Oryzias latipes: one gene and its partners. The main gene of each other region encodes a partner of the protein of the gene in region 2 in a complex. Links are inferred from orthologs where the notes say so. Each region holds a gene or a part of one and is shown on either strand. Other genes may lie near its edges.

Evidence for each region.
Region 1: gtf2e2 (region 2) and gtf2f1 share a complex: the UniProt entries of both Homo sapiens proteins name them as parts of the TBP-based Pol II pre-initiation complex. The link is inferred for Oryzias latipes from reciprocal best matches to the Homo sapiens genes GTF2E2 and GTF2F1.
Region 3: gtf2e2 (region 2) and gtf2h5 share a complex: the UniProt entries of both Homo sapiens proteins name them as parts of the TBP-based Pol II pre-initiation complex. The link is inferred for Oryzias latipes from reciprocal best matches to the Homo sapiens genes GTF2E2 and GTF2H5.
Region 4: the proteins of gtf2e2 (region 2) and gtf2e1 are in contact, whole or in part, in a crystal structure (PDB 5GPY), measured with the Homo sapiens proteins. The link is inferred for Oryzias latipes from reciprocal best matches to the Homo sapiens genes GTF2E2 and GTF2E1. Residues at the interface, in NP_002086.1 of Homo sapiens: Asp159, Gln160, Arg161, Gly162, Leu163, Gly164, Gly165, Leu167, Leu190, Val192, Asn193, Arg194, Pro195, Ile200, Phe202, Cys208, Gln209, Phe210, Ser211, Val212, Asp213, Glu215, Phe216, Gln217, Leu219, Trp220, Arg221, Val223, Thr224, Val225; in NP_005504.2 of Homo sapiens: Arg16, Lys19, Tyr20, Val21, Arg23, Gly24, Phe25, Tyr26, Ile28, Glu29, Leu32, Arg39, Leu51, Leu52, Lys53, Phe54, Asp55, Gln58, Gly68, Asp69, Lys70, Phe71, Lys73, Thr98, Asn101, Val102, Val103, Lys104, Tyr105, Lys106.
Region 5: gtf2e2 (region 2) and polr2l share a complex: the UniProt entries of both Homo sapiens proteins name them as parts of the TBP-based Pol II pre-initiation complex. The link is inferred for Oryzias latipes from reciprocal best matches to the Homo sapiens genes GTF2E2 and POLR2L.
Region 6: gtf2e2 (region 2) and gtf2a1 share a complex: the UniProt entries of both Homo sapiens proteins name them as parts of the TBP-based Pol II pre-initiation complex. The link is inferred for Oryzias latipes from reciprocal best matches to the Homo sapiens genes GTF2E2 and GTF2A1.

What each region holds. Positions count from the first base shown.
Region 1 is NC_019866.2:14,106,534-14,110,480, reverse strand, and holds the start of gtf2f1 (general transcription factor IIF subunit 1), read right to left. Parts: upstream 2,801-3,947; 5' UTR 2,534-2,800; intron 2,308-2,533; 5' UTR 2,263-2,307; coding exon 2,251-2,262; intron 1,950-2,250; coding exon 1,903-1,949; intron 1,724-1,902; coding exon 1,651-1,723; intron 1,311-1,650; coding exon 1,117-1,310; intron 801-1,116; coding exon 630-800; intron 559-629; coding exon 353-558; intron 241-352; coding exon 90-240; intron 1-89. UniProt on the Homo sapiens protein: TFIIF is a general transcription initiation factor that binds to RNA polymerase II and helps to recruit it to the initiation complex in collaboration with TFIIB. It promotes transcription elongation.
Region 2 is NC_019859.2:11,936,997-11,941,213, reverse strand, and holds the start of gtf2e2 (transcription initiation factor IIE subunit beta), read right to left. Parts: upstream 2,801-4,217; 5' UTR 2,579-2,800; intron 1,890-2,578; 5' UTR 1,885-1,889; coding exon 1,725-1,884; intron 931-1,724; exon of another isoform or gene 280-930; coding exon of another isoform or gene 1-279. Other genes in the region: smim18 (small integral membrane protein 18), read left to right, coding at 1-279. UniProt on the Homo sapiens protein: Recruits TFIIH to the initiation complex and stimulates the RNA polymerase II C-terminal domain kinase and DNA-dependent ATPase activities of TFIIH. Both TFIIH and TFIIE are required for promoter clearance by RNA polymerase.
Region 3 is NC_019882.2:9,073,468-9,076,041, reverse strand, and holds gtf2h5 (general transcription factor IIH subunit 5), read right to left. Parts: upstream 1,359-2,574; 5' UTR 1,218-1,358; intron 1,005-1,217; 5' UTR 942-1,004; coding exon 907-941; intron 807-906; coding exon 626-806; 3' UTR 501-625; downstream 1-500. Other genes in the region: protein SERAC1, read right to left, coding at 2,400-2,536. UniProt on the Homo sapiens protein: Component of the general transcription and DNA repair factor IIH (TFIIH) core complex, which is involved in general and transcription-coupled nucleotide excision repair (NER) of damaged DNA and, when complexed to CAK, in RNA transcription by RNA polymerase II.
Region 4 is NC_019879.2:29,665,061-29,667,311, forward strand, and holds the end of gtf2e1 (general transcription factor IIE subunit 1), read right to left. Parts: intron 1,537-2,251; coding exon 1,094-1,536; 3' UTR 501-1,093; downstream 1-500.
Region 5 is NC_019861.2:18,860,753-18,863,663, forward strand, and holds polr2l (DNA-directed RNA polymerases I, II, and III subunit RPABC5), read right to left. Parts: upstream 1,728-2,911; 5' UTR 1,596-1,727; intron 1,155-1,595; exon of another isoform or gene 1,137-1,154; 5' UTR 1,128-1,136; coding exon 1,033-1,127; intron 752-1,032; coding exon 640-751; 3' UTR 501-639; downstream 1-500. UniProt on the Homo sapiens protein: DNA-dependent RNA polymerase catalyzes the transcription of DNA into RNA using the four ribonucleoside triphosphates as substrates.
Region 6 is NC_019882.2:4,171,033-4,175,059, forward strand, and holds the start of gtf2a1 (transcription initiation factor IIA subunit 1), read right to left. Parts: upstream 2,801-4,027; 5' UTR 2,592-2,800; coding exon 2,562-2,591; exon of another isoform or gene 2,525-2,561; coding exon of another isoform or gene 2,519-2,524; intron 1,283-2,518; coding exon 1,181-1,282; intron 1,071-1,180; coding exon 902-1,070; intron 811-901; coding exon 746-810; intron 325-745; coding exon 249-324; intron 173-248; coding exon 51-172; intron 1-50. UniProt on the Homo sapiens protein: TFIIA is a component of the transcription machinery of RNA polymerase II and plays an important role in transcriptional activation. TFIIA in a complex with TBP mediates transcriptional activity.

The DNA of each region.
Region 1 (3,947 bases), on a different chromosome or scaffold from region 2:
AAAATGCAGACTTGTTCTTCTAAAAAGACCAAATAAAAACATGTTCTTTCTTTAATATGTATATGTGGTAAATACGCTGAGGAGCCCACCTGCTTTCATCTGACATATAATCCACCTCTAGACCCTCATAGTCTCCATCATCGCTGTCTTCCAGGGCATCCTTCTCATTGCTCTTTTGTTTCTTTTTCTTTGCTTTCCCTTTGGCTTTGTCTTTCTTTGCCTTTGCTTTGTTTTCTCCATCTGCAAACGAAGAAGAGACGGAAGCTGCAGGTGAGGAAAATGAGCTGACAGACGTTTGGAGGAAGGGGCTGAGCGCCCTGACAGTTCTGGAGCCTGCTGCATGGATCCTTACCATCTCCCATGCTGTTGTCGCTGTCGTCGCTGCTCATCTCCAGGTCTTCATCCAGATCATGAATTCGCAAATCTCCACCCTTCCCGCCCCCTTTCTTTTTCTTCTTTCCGGGTTTGTCGGCGTCATCGTCATCCTCCTCGCCCCGCTCCTGTTCCCGGAGGCGTCTCTGAAGCATGATGCTGAAGTGATTCACCACCTTGTTCCGCCTGGACAAAGAAGGAAATGACTTTTAAAACACAAAAGGCATTCTCCAAGTCCAGCTTGCTGCTCTGCTAACCTGCCCCACTCCTCCTCAGCTTCCTCTGCAGTCAGAGTTCGGTGCTTCGCCACCGGCGTGAAGTTGTACCAGCCGTGAACGGGGAAAGCCTCGAAGGCTCCATCAGGACACTGCGTAAAGATGTAGTAGGATGCATTTTCTGTCACGCCGCCCTTCTTTATACCTTTGAACCTGATGCAGAAAGACAAATATTATAGCCAGACTGAAGATTGTAGAACTGGAATCATAGGAGAATCTTGCTGCAATAAACATTTTAGGAAAAATAAAAAACACACCAACAGATTTTGTTAAAAATTGGTGAGGATTACACCAAATCTTACTCAGTACGAAGACGTATTTGCTCATTTTCTACAACGGTTAAATAAATATGGTTTATTGATTTTCTTTATTTGAAGAAAAAAAAGTCATAACTTCAAGAAAGCCTGCAGGTAAATTAAAAAAAAAAAATGTACTTAAGTTTCAAAAATAGAAACATTTATCGCTTTACCTTTTTCCTGCTTTTCCGTTGACCTTTAAAATCCACGGCTGATCCTCCACCTTGAACTCTCTGGTCACAATGCCATACTTCTTCCGCCGCGCTTCCTCGCGCTGCTTTTTGCCAAACTCGCTCCCTGCCCCTCCCTCTGGTAACTCCTCCTCGCCATATATTCGCCGAGCACTCAGGTCGCGTTCCATGCGAGCCTGGGGGAGTGACAAAGCAGGATATTTAACTTAATACCTTTTTTTTTTTTAGAACTTTTATCAAACAAGGGAAGTCCCATCGAGATTAGAAATCTCGTTTCCAAGGGAGACCTGGCCAAGAGGCACCACATTTCAATACAAAAAATACATTTAAAAAAACATCATTAGTACCACATATGTCATAAAACGCAGTTGCTTTATTAATCCGTACTCCCTTGTATTTTGTCACAAATTTCTGAATTCCTAAGGATGTTTTAAGAGATCTTATTGTTTTTAATTATAACCAAATTTAAAATATAGATTTACTTTACTGGAGCAAAAAAGAAGACATGAAGCCCACCTGTGTCCAGGCCGAACAGTTGACTTTGTCTCCAGAATTAAAAGCCATGATGTTGTACTTCTTGCTTGTATTTCTATGGGGCAAGAAAATAAATAAAAAAATAAAAAGAGTTGTTTTTGCAAGGCGGAGTCAAGTAACACGTTGACAAATTTAGGGCAGAATGATGCAAAACATTACTATTTCAAAGGATAACGGTGTCATTTCTGTGTTATGGTCAACATTACTAACACATTACTGCTTTCATTTACTCACTTGGGGACTCTCACTGTGTATTCTGTAGTCGAAGCACTGCTGCCCCCCTGGAAGATGGTAAACAAACAAACAAACAAACAAATAATGTGGAATTTCTATTAAAAAAAGGTTTTGCTATAAGATCAGCGACCTTCTGATTGAATGAGTTTTTGCCTGCATGCAACTCAGGCTTTACAATTAGTCTCCACTGATAAATTCGTGTAACATTGTCTTCTGTAGCGCAGATTAATAAAGTTTTCTTTCCTGCTGTAACCGGAAGCTGCCGGGCTAAAATAGCTTAAATGAAACGAAAACATTTTACATGTTAATAATAATAAAAATAATCATTAAAAAAAAGTCAGAACTTACCAGAGATGTCATGATTGTTTATCAACAACTTCTGGATTTGCCAACACTTCACTGGAGCTATTAAGGGTTTACAGAAAAAGAAAGGACATTTTAGCAGGTATTTCACTAATGTTTAGTGCAACATGATCATGTCGGCCATTTTCATAATGTGTAAAAATATGATTACGTTTATTACAAAACTAGTTTTATAGACGGGTTAGAAAAAAACAAATGTTCGAAAGCAAACAATCACCGAAAACTGGTTTTATTGTGAAAGAAAATAACAATGAATGCTGAGTCTCACCAACCCGGTCGTAGAGATTTCAATGGTTAGCTCTGATTAGATCATTAGATCTCCAGCACGATAAACGAGCTCATATGGTCGTTTTAGTCCAACTTCAGACCGAGTGAAGATGCATAAAAGGAAAATGAAATACAAAAATAGTGTTGTTGTTTTTTTTAAAAGAAAAAGCCCCGCATCTCCGAGAGTAAAACACTACTACTGGTGTACCGGTGAGGTGCGCGTTGTTGCAGCGTAATCGTTCCGTCACTTTTTACGGTCGACAGGAAACCTTGGCACGTCACAAATAGTTCCTATTGAAAATGCAGACAGTAACTGGAATGAAAGAAAAAAAAATCAAACTAATAAGTAAAAACAGACTTACCAACAAAGAAAAACATATAAATTAAATTTGTTTCCCTGAAATGTAGTTTAAAATTTATAAAAACTTTATTAAAAAAGTAAAACATTATTTAAAAAAGTAATTAAATTAATTGTTTCCTTTAAAAAATAATGATTAGGCTGTGAACACAGTGTTAAGAGCCGATTATGCTTGAGTGCACCTGAATGTAAGGAAAGGAAAGTGTAAATGCCATTCACAATTTTTACAATTTGACAATTAATCTGTGATCATGGCCGGCCCTCCCTATACGCGAATTACGCAGCCGCGTAGGGCCCCCACATCACCAGGGCCCCGAAGTGGCGAAAAAATAAAATAAAAAAAAGACCCAAATCTGGCAACCTATTTCATAGCTGTGAATGTTGTGCAAAAGAAAGTTGGCTGCACTTTAATGATCCCCCTTGTCAACAAACCTGAACCAATCTGGCAACCCAAATAATGACGTTACGCCACTCTCAGCAACGATTGGCCAACATCACTGCATCTGAGCCTGGCACAGTGTGCATTTACGAGCGCATTTTGTTTCAATAAAGTTGAGAAAAGAAAAAAAAATAGCTCATTTTGTCACGCTGATCAAAGCGACAACAAGAGCACTTCATGCCAAAGAGACTTTATCCATCAGGAGCTGAAAAAAGATGAACAACTTCAGCATCAATCACAAGGTAAGTTTGGAGGATGATGGGGCCATATTTTTTACATTATCCAGTATTTCTGTGCATTCGCGATTTAAAATACTAATTGATCCGAAGTTCGGTAAAGTTAGAAAGACAGGTGAAGTTTGCACATAAACGACCCCGTTTGTTGTAATTTCCAATGGAAAACTCTAAAATAATTCTGATACCCAAGTTTCCTGGATGAGGTCAGACAGGACCTTCCAAAACGGCGAAGAGAAGATTAAATAACGACAACGGTGATGGCTGATAAATGTTTAACTCACGTTATTGTATTGTTTAATTGTTTTGCTAACACATATTTAGTGCGTTCTGCATTTTCCGGTTTACGTCAGTATAGAAACTGCTGTTTATCTGTTATAGACAG
Region 2 (4,217 bases):
CTCCCCGAGGCCATCCCCATGTCCCACGTTTCCCTGCAGGTACAGGAAGTCTACCCCTTCCACGACGGTTGGAACGTCGCCTGCTTCGTCATCCTCCTGCTCTTCATCCTCACCGTTCTGTCCCTGGCCGCTCTGGCCGTTCTCTACGAGTTACTGGACTGCGGCTGCTGCGCCAAAGGGAAAACGCGCCACCAGTTGCAGCAAGAAAGGTCGGGAAGCTGCAGCAATCTCATGACGAGAACATGCAAGGAGCTGGAGAGCCACACGGAGGTGGTATAGCAGCAGCACAGACAAAGGAAAATGGAAGAGTTTGGGGTTGGGATGCCCAATTTATTGCCAAAACAAGCACCCCTGATACCATAGACTGTCTATTTGCATGCATCCAATTCAGAGGCAAAGAAAAAAATGAATCAATGTTCCAGAGTATTCTGTACACAGAAACGTTTGCCGAGTTAGGGCTTTAAAGACTCATGTCATCTTTGTTTAGTTTTGTGTTTTTTTGCCGTTCTTCTATGGTAAACACACAGTCGTGAATTTGTAGACACAATAAAGGTTTTCGTTTGGCTTCCCACAAACCCGATAAAAGTTGATGGAAATCTTTTCTTTTGGGTTAAAAACATTGTGGTATGATAAAAAAGAATTGTTATAAATAAACATGATTCATTTAAATGGATGTTAAGGCGAGCCGAAAGTTGTAATTGTTTGTAGTGGATGTATAGAAATCAGCTGCCACTCTCATGTTACCAGGTGGAAAATCTGACATTTCTGAAACTTTTTTAACAGATGAAGACGTTTATTTTCCAAAAGCAACTAAATGAAGTGATAAAATCTAGCGTTGGACGGCTGTTGGTCAATGTGGTATGTTGGCATTTTCATGAAGACAAACATAAAAAGACTAAAGAAAATCAATAAAAATGAGATCTAACAAAAAGTTTGGTTAAAGAGTTTGAATTTTCTTTCTCTATATTTCATGATTCTTATGAATCAGTCCTTTCATCCAAAGAATTCTTTTAGGCTTTATTTATATTTACTATAAAAATGTTAGAAGTCATTTTTTGATCTGTGCACACCTTTAAAAAAAAGCAATGACAGCAGAATTTTGACCACTTTGCTTTTCGTAATTATTCAAATATTTGACTCAGAATAACCTATGAGTGACAGATGAATGAGTTTTGATTGCCTAGGTGTTACATCATCCATCCATTAAAAAACAACAACATTTAAACCAAACAAAAGAAAGAAAACATAATCCTTAAAAATAATCTGCCAGTTTCACTCAAAGACCCCCTCCGATCATATTTTGATCTATTGTGAAAGCGTTTCCATTGGTCTTTTACTTAGGAGAAGGTCATTTTTAGCTAAAAATTAAAAAAATCTGGGTCGTTTTTCTAGGACATAGTTTCTGCAGGGTGGCAGTAGTTCATTGGAATTTCACCTGAGTTGCGAGTGGGACCAGCGGCGCTGTAAGGAGCAACCCTACCCCCCCTTCCAGTCATCCATTACTGAGCTCTCTGCATATCCTCTCTCATAAGCTTACAGCCTCTCACACACCCAACCCAACATTGGTGAGCAAACTTAAGGTTTACGCCAGATGGCAGCCCAGGCGAGGAAAACAAAGACGTACATGGATCCATTTGTCTGCAAGTGGGTTTATCAGAATGGAGCGGAGCAGCTTGTGGCACGTCCAGGAGAAGCTCAGTAACCAGATATAAAGCATGACCTACCAGTGCTGTGTTTGGAGCCAGAGGAGCCTTCCTTGTCTAACTTGGGCTTCTTCTTCTTGTGGGATCCAGAGTCTGATGCAGCTGGTCTCTTCTCAACAGCCGGCGTGGAGAGAGCTCTTTTCTTAAACAGCTCCCTCTCGCGAAGCAGAGCTGGATCCATCCAGGCTGGTGGACAAAAGCATGTAAACACAGAAAAGGCTGGATAAAATGCAGTTTTACTAAGCTTCAAACGTTTAAATTAAATATAATTTATGAAATAAATATAATACTGAAACAGTGAGGTGCATCATCTCCATGCATATCTATTATACCTGGTATGTTTACCTGGTTCTTTTCTCAATCTAATCAGTGATGCAGCTGTTTTACTATTTTTTCTTCAAATATTAAGTAGAGCATAAGGATTATTATTAGTAACTAGATTTGATGTTAAAACATTGTCTTGACACGACAGGATTCTGTTCTTCAAAACTACGGTGTTCCATTTGTGCCAAAAATAATTGTGTTCGGTTCTTCTACTGACAATATGGGCCAAAGACATGGAATTACTACATTAACAGTGACCAAAGAAATACACTTAATACAGAAACAGTGGACTAAAAACTCAACTCAAAACATATTTAAACATATATATAACAGAAGTTCGCTGTTTGTCCGATTAGCTTCTTCTTCAGTTTATCGGGAAAAAAAAAACTTCATATAAGCAGCTAAAAGTCATCGAGATGAACCTTTAGAGTCCAGTTTCCCCAAAGAACCGAATCCCGTGACAGCATGACCCACATAACCGCTAATTAATGTTCCCGCATTGTCTAACACCTAATGTGATGCTAATCCTAGTGTTAGCATGTCAACGTTACCTGCTACTGTTGAGTTCTTCTTTCCAGAAAGTGGCGAATAAGTCCCGATAGACTAATTTATAAACTAAAAAGTGAAATAGAAAGACAATTTTAAGCTTAAGTAAACTCAAGCTTACTTTCTAATAAAAAAGTATTATTTTTGTATCCATCATGTAACTGTTTCGTTTAGTGTTCGAGTTGTCGGTTATCGTTATCGTATGTTATTCCTTGGGTGACGTCTTCCGCGTGCAAGCAAAAACCCGCAGCTGTGTAGCTCAACATCGCCACCTACTGGACTGGAGGACAGTCAACTTATTTCAGGCAAGAGAGCTATTTTGGTTAGGGATTCTGAAACTATAGCTAAAATAATGAGTGTTCTGTTTCACAGTTTTTAATTCTTGCCGGAACGTTTAAAAACAATTAAATAGTTTCAGCAAATGTTTCTCCCCCAACATTTTCAGTTTTTAAACTGAAAATTATTGGATATTATTATAACCAACAGTTTGTAATAAGACATTAAAAGTATTATTTCCAACACCTGACTGTAATATGTTCTGTTTTGCATTGTGGTGTGATTGCCATTTCGATTATAAACATAATCTTTACAAGTTTTCTTTGCCAAATTTTGTGCTTTGACCAATAAAGTTTAATCTCATTTCTTGTTAAAAGATGAAACACTTAAGTGAAATGTTAATAAAGTTCCAGGATTTATTTTTGAATAATATTTTTAATTTAAAGCCTTTTTTTTTCTTTTTACTGTAGAGGAGCCTACAGCACGTAGTTACAAAATACATTACGATAGCATACCTTTTGCAGTTCTAAAGGGGTGTAAAGCATTACTATGACATTAAAGTCATTACATACTTAGTAATGAGACGAGAACACATGAACAAAAAAACTCTGCTAAAAATATCTTTATAAACTCATGGTTCATCACTTTTAGCTTAGAAACAATAATTTAACTTTTGATTTCTTGAACAAATGTGTTTATCTTTTTTTTTTTTTTTTTCTTGAAGAAAAAAATGTATCTGATCAGTTATTTTTGACAAAGTGTGGTGATTGGAATCATTATTTAATAGACAGCTCCACTTTTCCTGAGGTAAACAGACCCCTACGGTTCTCCTGTCACTCTGTTATCCATTTAGGTAGATGACTCATAGTTTTATTTTAACAACAAAAAGCTGTGATTCTGCTTCCTGTACTTTCACTTAATGATTATTAAAGCTTATCGCCATTTGTCTTAGAGTGAAATGCTTGACAGTACCTTGTCACTTCCTCTACTTCTGTAGGTCTTACAAAGAACGCTATAAGTAATAATTGATTACGAGTCATAACTTTATAAGTAATAAAGTTATGTAACGCAGTGTAACTCTGACACAGTGACAGTTTGGAGGTAACAAACCCCAAACTGTAAACAGAAATAATACTAAAAATAATTTTACTTTCCCTTTATTATTACTTTATAAGTAATAAAGTCATGTAATGCAGTGTAACTCTGACACAGTGACAGTTTGGAGGTAACAAACCCCAAACTGTAAACAGAAATAATACTAAAAATAATTTTACTTTCCCTTTTTTTTCTCTGACTAGTAATCAATTTTATTAGCGAATAATGAGGGCATATACAAGGAATTTGGCTTCAGTGTCTTATTCTCTCATT
Region 3 (2,574 bases), on a different chromosome or scaffold from region 2:
ACTGCACATTCAGATAAGTTTATTTTACAATTATCTAAAAAAAAAAACAGATCTGTACAAATACATGTTTTATTCTAAACGGTGCCTTGCATTTCCATTTTATTTTTCCTCATAAATGAGTTATGAATTTGTAAAATGTGTATATTTTGTGTTTTTTTTCTTCAAAGGGAATGTCACTTATGTTTAAGATGATTTTTCTTCAGGTGTTTGTAAAATGTGCTGCTTGTACATGAGGCTGTAAGGAGACTTGTAAATAAAGCAAAGTGTCTATGAAAATGTCTTAAAAACTGAATATTAAAATATTTAAAAATTGTATACCTGGCAGAGGGATACTAACTTAAATAAGTCCTAGTACAGTTTTCCTAGGGTTTAAATATGCATCGTGACCACCACAGCTAGATATATTTTACATTTTTAAAGAATTTCTGGAAATTTTCTCACCCCAATACCCATAAAAATATGGATGCAGGTATAATTACAAACTACATCACTACAAGTAATGATAGTTATATGTAACCCATAATCCAATTTATTGATCTTTTTTAAAGCATGTCAGAAACAAATCCAGTCATTCCATAGCTCAAAAAAACAAAACAAAAAGATTATCCTTAGGAAAGGTCAAAGGTTATTTCTGCGTGATGGGAAAGGAATTCTGGTCCATCAAGTCTCCGACTCTTTCCTGCAGGGTTTGGACCACCTCTGCCAGGATGAAAACGTGGGTGTCATCGAGGTCCTTCAGGATGAACTTCCTTCCTAAAGCCATGGTCTCATCCAGGTAAAGGAGGAACTGTTTCATGGCGGGGTCACTAATTCAATAAAACACATCCCATCAGACACAATTGAGTTCTCAAAATGTTAATTTACAGAACTTGTTAAAAAAATAATGTTTGTTAAAACTTTACTTACCATTCAACGAGAACGCCTTTGTGAACGTTCACCATGTTCACGAAGAAACGGTCCCTTTGTTTAGCGGAGATGTTAACTTAACGCGAGGATTTTTTAACCTGACGCATAAAAACAAGTAAAACAAGAATTCTCTGTCAAAATAGAACGTTTGTTTTTGAAGTCTATACAGATTTTAAAGGTTAAAAAGTCTCATTGTGACGCGCTTTTTTTTAAAGCTAATCATCACAGGTAAACAAGACTCAGATAAAAACAATTATAAAATGCTTTAAAATACACCAAAGCTAAAAAACAACAACACTAAAATAACAAACCTGTCTGTGTTCCGGGAAAGATGTTAGTGGAAGTAAGAGAATTCCTTTTTATAAAAGGTAAATGTATGACAGAATATTAGCACAAATTCTAGGCTCCTAACACGATGCTACATGTCCCTGTATGGTGCGGGTCAAGGGACAATTTTCTGTGCTTCGACAACAACAATGCAACGCATGCGCACTGCTGCTAGCTTCAATCGTGGAGTGTTATTTTATTTTTTATTTGGATTTTGTACTCTTGCAGAAGTTACTTTCATTGACATGGAAACAAACATAATAAATAAATAAGATTACCAAAACATTTCCCAGGATTTAGAAGTTCTTTAAAAAATCTTTTTGGTTTAAAATCAAAGCTAACGATCACGTATACCAGAATAGAGAGCTTCCTTTTTAGTTTTTGATTCCTAACCAAGTTGCTCCGCAAAAAACTTTAAAGGAAATTAAACTGAAGCTATCAAAATGTTATTTTGCAAAATCTTGGCTAAAACTTAACTTATATTGCCCAAAAAACAGCATTGTAGGCTGTAAAAAATAAAAAGCAATATTTCCAGTGTAAAAACCCTAATTTAATATTTAGCAAAAACACAAATGAAACTGAGATTTTTCAGTAATTTATTGACAGCGATGGGAATTTTTAGTGGCAATTGTGCTACGGCAAAATTCAATCACATCATTACTTAAAAAAAATAAATGTTTTTTTAAATAGACAAGGAGGAGTCTATGGTAAGGCTTAGGAAAAGAAATACATTTTGGCACCAATTATGACTGACATTGTGCTTTTTGGGGGATAAAACTCTCAAATATAAAAATAAATGCGGGGAAGAAATTCTTTTCAGAATATTACAGATCATTTACGTAAGTATTACATCTCAGAATAATAATTAAAATATTAACAATCTGTTTCCAACTCTAAACATGACAAAAAACTGTAAAAATATTATTTGCAAAAGTGATCCGATTTACAATTAAGTTATTCATGAGGAGTGAGTTAAAAATAAGTCTCGTTATCAGAGCTGAAAGTTTTCATTTAAGTTAGTCTAAATATTGAGTGATCCCTCACACTTCACATTATTTGTTCATGTTTAACAAAAGACATCCCGGAAGGGGGGCATGTGCATATTTTTTCTCTCCACAGTTCAAGTATGCAGTAGTCTGCATCATTGTCTTTGTGCGGATAAAGAGTCACTGGCTGCTAAAACTCTGCAAGGCCTCCTGGATGAACTGGAGGCTGCGTTTGTACAGAAACGAATCCTTCTTCTCTGGCTTGCAGATGTTGAGGTGATCCACGTTTACCTCGACGAGTTCTCCGATGCCGAGGTCTGAAACGAAACCAGGCTTTCATATCTCCATCTACAGT
Region 4 (2,251 bases), on a different chromosome or scaffold from region 2:
TTGTGCTATCCTAGGCTCTTTAACGATGGGAGTTGGGTCATCTAGACCCACTAGACAGTGCTCTGAACCTTTTTTCTTCAATGATTTGTGATCTTCACTGGTGTCCATGGATTACATGAAATCTTTCCACCTTTATCCACCTTTGTCGTGGTAGGGAGAACACCTCAATGGAAGGGGGGGGTCATCTAAGATAGCACAAGGGTTAAGGGAAGAAAACCGTTTCCATTCATAGCAGAACCAGAGGGAAAAGATTCACACACACAAAAAAACAAACATTTGTGTTGTTCACAAGCTTTCCATGTGTGGTTTCAGCAGAAATGTTGAGCTGCACATTTTTCCTTTTTGTCAAAAAAACCCCAAGATGTTCAGGAAAAATTCTGATTGGCTGTTCTGGTTTTTTATCGTTTTTGTAGTTTTTCTTACAGCAAAAACTGTAGAAAAATCATCTTTGGGGACTCCTCAGGTTTAACAGAGCAACAGAGAAAAAAAATGAATCAAAGCTTCAGAACAAAAGTTTTATTGACAAAAAACTCGTATTAAAGGGAAATTAGCCGCTGCCATCCACTGCTTTGATTCCCACAAACTGCAAGTTTGGCATTTTAGCAGGAAATTTAAGAACGCAGCATGAAGACAAAATGCAATGGAAAAAAAGGATGTAACTCTGAACATGTTTTCACTTAATACTGAACCCACACTGACTTTTATTCTCAGCATCTAACTGTAAATCACTGCTATAAAACTCTGTGTGGAACTAATTTAGACTTTTTTTTTTAATCCTGTCTTTTGAGCGGCATCGCTGCTGAAGGAGTCTCAACTCTGAAGAAGTCCTTCAGCAGCCAATCCAACTCCTCTTCCTCCTCCCAAAAAGGAGACAGGAAGCTGTAAAGGCTGCAGACAGACTTTGGGTGGATCTGCCACCAGGATGTTTGTGTTGAGGACATCATCTTTCCAAACACTGCAGATGGATAAAATACTGCAGGAGGGACACCTCCCTAACAGATGACAGCTTTCCTCTGCTAAAGTTTAAACACGTGCACGTGTGCACAGGTCCTCCAGCCGCCGCCATCAGATGAACACTGGGTGTGAGCCGGGCTCAGAAATACATGTCCTGGAAAAGGTTCTGTCCCATTTCGATGTAAGCCTCCTTCTCCTGCGCAGACATCTGCTCCACCAGCTCGGGCCTCTGGCTCACCTCCCTGTAGGAGAACGGCCGACCTCCCACCATCACCATGGGCTCGTCCCCCACCTCCTCGAAGTCGTCCTCGTCCTCTTCGTCCTCCTCTGGGCGCCGTGCGGCTGCGATGGGAGGAGGACCTGCGGGGAACTCGTCATCTGATTCACTGGTGTCGCTCTCTGAGTCACTGGCGTTGAGGGCGGAGGACGCGGCAGGTCTGGAGGAGGCGCCGGCTCCGCCCACCCCTGGTCCTGCGCCGGCCCTTTTCTCGTGGATGAGGAGGGCGCGCATCACCTCCTCGTTTTCGTCTGTCTGATCGCGAGCTGCAGCTCCGTCCTGAGCCCCAGGCAGAGCGGCTCCATCTGAGGGGACAAAACGTGAATCCATCCCATAAACGGATCTGCAGAAACCGAGCCAATGCCAATGTTTGCAGGTTTTTATTTGACTAAAGAAATGATCGGTCTACTTCCAGGCTGCGCTGCACTAAAGGAACTTTTCTCTTCCATGTTCTAATTCAGGAAATTTTTCTTTTTTGAAGTTTAAAATGAAACTAAATCTGACATTTTGGACAAAAGATTTAAAAAAAATCAAATCAGGAGAAAAAAGTGAGAAAATTATTTCTGCCTTCCAGAATTTATGATGATTTAGATCCAGACGAACAAAGAAAAAAGCTATTATGGTTTATACTCAGCATACAGATAACTGTATGCTCAAAATAAATAATAACTCAAAATAAATAATAATAATAAAAATTAAAATAAAGACCACTGTGATGAAAATGATGTTTCTAGCGAGTTCTTTAGACATTTTTCTGATGATAGAAGACATGCATAAAGAAAATGACGCATAAAATTGCCTTTTGGGGTTAATCTGCCAAAACTGACTTTGCAGAAACTATGTCCTCCAATAAGACTGTTGGCTAAAAACGGCATAAAAAAGAAAAAAAACTCTTTCCTGTGGTTTTTACCAGAGGAATTCATGACTCCATAGTAAAAGTTACATCTTTATTCAGTTTAAAATGCTTTTTTTTCTACAATGTGTTCACAGCCTGAACCTGAAAAACGGCACTGGGGCAAC
Region 5 (2,911 bases), on a different chromosome or scaffold from region 2:
TTTAATTGTTGGTAACAAAGTGGCATTGTAATTTGCTGAAAACCTTCTGCACATTCACTATAACTCTTCAAGAGTTAAAGTTCCAACCGCCATGACGATGTTTTGTTCTTGCTTCCCCAGATTGGAGGCAGAGGAGCATTGTTGCGTCGAGTTGTATATAAAAGAATCAAGGATTGTTTGTTCAATCTGAGAACACGGTTTTGTTCTTCCTTTATATAATAGGACTTGTTTTAACAAAAATTGGCTGTAGATTTTTTCTTGTAAAATAAGACTTTGTTTGCATGCACCATAACAATTCTTTCTGTAATCATTGTAATTTCACATTTCTTTTGGTAGAAAATCTACAATTAAAAAAAATCCCAAAGTATTCTCGTCTTATGTGCTCTGCTGTTGAATAGTATAACATTATTTGTTTGCATGTTTTCATAAGTACATAAAGTGAAAGGTTGAGCGATTTAACTCAACGCCTCAAAAATTAGATGGCATCTCAACTCAGTGAATCGAATACTTTAAAGAAAAAACTTTATTTAAATAAAATTTTCATTGCCACATATGTGCACAATACACCAAGTCATTATTGTTGACATTTCTTAAACACTGAATATATGCACAGGCCATGTTCAAAGCATGTTCTTCCAGCTAAAATTTTTCCAGCGGTGCATAATTTAACAATTTCTCAATAAGATCCACATGGGAAAGCAGCATCCTCCGACAGCAGTACCTCTTCAGGCCCAGGGCATCAAGAGCATCACTAGAAAAGGGAAGATGGAAAAGTAATTTTAGTGCCAGATATTGCTTGCATAATTACAGAAAAAAAAAAAAAAAACATTTCTATAGTTAGTTTTAAATGTTGTATCCTCAAATGGTCTGAATTCAAACTAACATCTTGACTGACAGTGAAACAGGAGGAGTAGAGGTTGAATGAAGGCCTTTATTTAGTTTCAGAAAACTTGACCATATAGCATTACGGTGACACATTGTTGAACGAACGAAACATGAAGGTAAAATGAAAATGAAGCGCATCTGTCTCACCCTTCAGTGTATTCGGCCTGAAGAAGACCAAGGTAGGCTTCCCATTTGTTCCCCACGATCTTCCCACAAGTGAAACACCTCACCGGGATAATCATTTCTGGATGCTTGAAGAAGGAGCCAAACTAAGATATTCAATCCACAATAAATAATATAATCAACAATCAAATCAATAATAAAAAAAAATTAAATAAACAAAAACATGCCAATATGAATATGGTCATATCTGAGAAAGGGTAATTATGTTACACATGTTCCTACAACATAATTCCGCTTATGATGCTAGCAAATACTTCTAAAGGAAGGTACCAACACGTTGTTTAGGAACGTCGTAACTAAAATGAACGCAAATATCTTGCGCTACAATTTCTGTAAACGATATAATATAATTAAGTAACTTGTGTTTAAATTACTGAGATTTAAAAAACAAAAAGAAAGGCCAACGCTAGCCGCGTACATGCAGCTAGCCTAGCAGCACGCCGTCGTTCACATGCTTCCCAAACTCGGGTACAAATGAAATAAAAATATTAGTAACATTACGTTAAAAAAGGAAGTTGTTAACTCACCTTTATTGGTCAAGTTTGTCCAACACTTAAACAGCGTTATTTGTAATAATAGTAGAGACAAAGTTTAACCGTTGACGATATAAACATCACAGCTCAAATAACCATTTCCGGTGTAATACAGAGCTTCCGGATGTGATCCTACAAAATAAAACTAATTTAAATAAACCACTAAATTTAGGTAAACAATGCTGTTGAGTTTAACTGCTGTGTGTTCATTTTCTGTATGTAAAACACAACTTTAGGATTTAACAAAAAAATTATTTTATCGCGTAAAAGTATTTGTTACAAAAACTGACGCGTACGATTTGCATTTTTACTATATATATATATATATATATATATATATATATATATATATATATATATATATATATATATATATATATATATTTTTTTTTTTTTAAAGAAGGTAGCACATTGTCTAAATACAACCTGCATCGGCCCTCAAATATTGAGAAATCTGTTCCTCAAACCAAAATAAAATCACATCTCTCTGGGTGGGTCTGTAATAATACCAGTTAATCCCAGACGACATATGTGTCCAATGATTAAATGCTTTAATTTAAATCACCTACACATTCATGTTCTATGATAAGGAAACAACTACATTTATATGGTATATGTATTCACCAACATTTGTCTATATGCAAATATTACTTTTTGTTATTTGAGGATTTCTCTGCAATAATTTAGAAAACATTCTAATGTTGCCACAGTCATGTGAGTAAAATAAAATAAAAAATCCTTATTTGGGAATTGGCATAAAATGCAAATCCCAAAAAAATCCTCTTTTTCTAATCTTGACTGTAGATCTACAGCTTTCATTTTCAAGTTTAAATATTTTCATTTGGATAGCTTATTAGCCAATACTTTCTGTGAAACTGTTGCTGTTTATTAACTAATCTTTAACTGTCTTTCCTTATTTTCATTTGCAGAAAAAAAAAGTTGTGAACATAAATCAAATGTAAATCTGATCTAAGCCTTAGTCTCATCTAGATTTCTCAACATACCAGTATTCAAAAGTACCGGTACCCAATTCCTTTTTTATATTTGTTGGCAGTCCATGTTAAAACTCTCTTGAACTTACAAGATTCATTCATTCATTCATTTTCTTAACCGTTTTTCCCTTTCGGGGTCACGGGGCTGCCGGAGCCTATCTCGACCACTTGTGGACAGGTCGCCAGTCTGTCACAGGGTAGAACTTACAAGATCATAAATTTAACTGAAACTCACATTTCTACTAATATAATTGCTTTGATAATTCTTGTGCATTTAAAAAAATAATTCAGACTGGTTCACTTCTTTTATTGAGGCTG
Region 6 (4,027 bases), on a different chromosome or scaffold from region 2:
TCCCAGACTGGTTTCATGCTCAAAAGGATGACCTCACACATGGACTGTACCTGCTGTATAATGGGGGCCTGCACGCCGCCAGGCTGCATCTGATTCTGCAGGACGATCTGCTGCTGAGGCTGGATGATGTACTGAGTCCCGTTGGGAGCCCGGACCACCTGCAGGAGCTGACCTGCATCAACAGGAAAACAAAAAAACGTTTTGAGATCCAACCACGCTAAAGTCCAAAGGAACGGTGAGAGCTTTACCTTGGCTTGTGATGAGCTGTTGGTAGGGGGTGACCCCTGTGGGCAAAGCAAGGGTTGCTGCAGTGGCTGCTGCGGTCTGCAGGAGGAAACACAGAAAGCCGCTCCAATTATACCAGAGCACAAAAAGGTGGATTTTCTAGGTGATAAAAAAAGAAAAAATCTTCTTTTTTCTTTTCATTTAAGCCTTAAAGGTTTCAAACATGGTCCATCACTTAAGGAAAAGCTATAGCGGCGGCTAGGTTTCAAGCTCAAAAAGACAGATGGCCTCCCCACAAGAAAGCTTTTCCCTTTCTCGGTTTTGTTCTCCAGGTCCTTGTTGAGAAAAAAAGTCCTCTCCCAAAACCCACAGCCCGGCTAGTTTTCCTAACCGTCGCTTCCTTGATACTATCCCAGATATTCCCCGGGTGGATTTGTGCGATGACAAAACGGGACGTTTGGGAGAATTTTTGGTTCTCAAGTGTGGCGGTGCAGTTTTCAGCTTGTAAGATGCTACTCACCATTCCCGTTGAATTCATGTGCTGTATCATTTTAGAGTCCTGAACTATGACCTGCTGCTGGGGAGCTGTTGAGAATAAAACACATTATTTCAGGTTGAAAAAAAAAAAAAACAACACACGTCCAGGCGACGTTTGTATGTCAACGTGCGGACTCGCCTTGTTGCTGCGAGGGAATCTGGATAACCTGCTGGGCCGGCGCGGCCTGGGCCACCTGCTGGGCCTGTTGGGAGTGCGGGTGCTGCTGCTGAGCGGTCTGCAGGGCCGCCTGCTCCTCGGTGTGGAAGCCCTCCACCGCCTTTGACTGCAGCAGCTTGTTCTCCCACAGCTGAAAGACAAGACTCCAGATGAATCTGACCAAACACGGAGCTGCATGTGTGTGTGTGTGTGTGAGGGGGGGGGGTTATAACCTTCTCTCAGTAAAATGAGACGGATTACCGTTTTCAGCTCCAGAAGAACTTGCTCGTCCACCCCTTCATCCAGGAACAGCTCCCGCACCTCATTGATCACATCCTCAATAACAGACTTGTATAATTTAGGCTATGATGACAAAACAGAGCAAATACACAATTTATTGGTGGTGGTTTCAACATATATAAATGTTTACAATAAATGTAGGAAAACACTCATAAAAGAGGTGTTAAGTTTAAACGGTCACATCTTGTGTATATGGATAGATTATCCAAACCCATATATAATAATCTGCACTGATCCATTTGTCAGCAGGACTAAACGCGTCCCTCGAGACAGAGCTGCACGCGCGGGGAACTGTCACGGACAACATTCTGGCTTCTACGCAGAACGAGAAGCGGGACACCGAATGTCCGTCTCTCTGCTCTCCTCCCCGTCAGCTCCGGCACTATTTAAAGCGCAGTCTGCTGTTTATGTGAAGAACCGGTGACGTAGCGTCGTGTAGCACCGTCCCATCCCGGGCAGTCTATATTAGACGGCCAATATGGCGGTATAAAACCAGGCAGCAGAAAGGAGGAGGGCCAGAACCGAGAGAGGAGACGAGGAAGCCATTTTACAGAGCGGCAAGCGCGCGCGCGCCTCTTTTCCCTCCTCGACTAGCAAGATATGGCGGACTGAAGATGACGGTTTCGGTGGTTTATCTCATGAAAGGATCCGTTTTGACTAAACATTTTTGACTGGAGCGGGACATTTGTTGCGTTGAGGGTGATTTGGGACGGCTCTCCTGCCCTCTGGTCGTGGAATGGAGGACAATGAAGAAGAAGCAGTTGACAGAGCGTTCAAGACGCCAAGCTTTTAATAAAATTTTTTTAGCTAAATTCAGTCGCAGTGGATGGTGCATATGTGCTTTGCGTACATCAGTTTCCCTCCCCTCCAACAGTTATGCGACAATAAGTATGACATTTTCCCCCGTGTAAACAAAAATGAGCACCCCTAACTTAACTAGTTAGCTAACGCATTCAATGCGGATTTCAACTCAATTTAGCTTTAAAAAAATGTCCAGAAGGTTTTCGGAAGCACTTACGTTAACAACTAATACCGTATAAACAGGCAACTTTTAACTTTAAAATTTATTTTTGATCACATTTAATTTAAATATTTAAAGAGATTCGGGTCCTACAAAAGTAATCAGTTCTATAAGCTCTTTTTTCATTGAGTTTCGAAAACTGGTATAAAAAAAATGACCGTGAGTATTCCTTTGAATGGACATAACGGTGTTGGTAAAACTCATTTTTACTGTAATGAATAAAAAAAATAAATTAAAAAAAAAAACAGATCGTTGACACGTTTTTCCATCAACTTTACCCCCATTTTCCCCCGTTGACAGTCCTGAGAGATTGATCCTTACCACTGGGTTCGAGTTTGCCGAGCTCGCCATTATACGCGTAGTGTAAAAACCACACGGAAATAGGCGAGAAACAGTGCCAAAAATTAAGAAAAAAGACTTAAAACAACTGGGAAAGGTACTTTAAAACAGCCGGCATTACTTTTGTAAATAAAACACAGTTTTAACGGTCTTATTTACAATCCCGGGCTGCGACTCCCCAGCCGTCCTCCTTTCGTCGTTGTCCTGCTTTATATACTGAGCGATGGAGCTGCGAGTGCGCGAGACATAGGGCAGGGTCAAAAGGCACATAGCGCGAGATTTGCCACAAAAAACGATGACTAATCACTGACGTCGTGCTGGGAAATGTAGTTTAAATTGTAAATTTCACAATGCGATTGGATACTTAGCTTTTTAGATTTGTTGGACAAATTATCCAATTGTTAACCATGATTACAATTACATTGTTTTTGTTTGTGAGTTTGTATTGTGTTGAGAATGTTTACAAATAGAGGGTTACAAGTTTTAATTGATTTAACTTTTTCAGCTAAATCGAGATTTTTCCTGTATAGTAAATTCTGTGTTGTATTCATTACTTTTATTTTATAACGAAAAGGTTCAAATCTGAATCCAAAAGCCCGATTTATTTCTATGTTCCTTGTAGTATCGTTCTACAGCCACAAGAGGGCGATAAGACAACATCACATGAAAATAACCTGTGTTTCACTGGAGCTTTGAGACGGGCATATTTTTCACATGCAGCGTGCTATATGTGATCTTTAATTAAGAAGATCTGTGCACATTTGAAGAAGTATTTAAGATCATATTCACTTGATCCAAAAATACACAACCAAAGGGAAAATCCTTAAAAAAAAGCTTTGCAATAATTTCGTGTAGACATTGTTAACTCCACTTCAGTCTCCATGGAAACTTGCTTCCCTGGCCACTCTGTGGATATAGATGATATAGACTAGGGAAGACTGTTTGCATCAATCCACAAACAATTCAGTGTTTTCTGAAAACTGTGTTTACTGAAATTATCTAAAGAAGATGTAAAAAAAAGAGAGAGAGGGTGATCTGACCCTGCAGATCACCCTCTCATGCTTCTATAATTACAGGGGAAGCAAAGTTCAACGTGATCAAAAAGCAAGCGAGTGATCCATGCTATGAATGTTTGGGATGTGATCATATATGCAGGCTAGGGCATTGCTGTCTTTGAGCTTCACTCCGGTGTAACATTAGAGAAGCATGATGCCCTCTAAAGATCTGGAGAATGCACACTTTACCCCCCCCCCCCCCCCCACTCCCTACTCCCCCTTCTTTGCTGTAGTTGCATAGCAACAGAGGAGCTGCAAGCTCCAGTTGTGTTGTGATGGGAGCGTGCTGCACAGGGAGCCACTGGCTCAAGATTAAGCCGGTCTCTACTTCAATTATGAATGGGCTTCCACCGCCACACGGCTCCAAAATGGCACCACTCAGACTGATAAGAC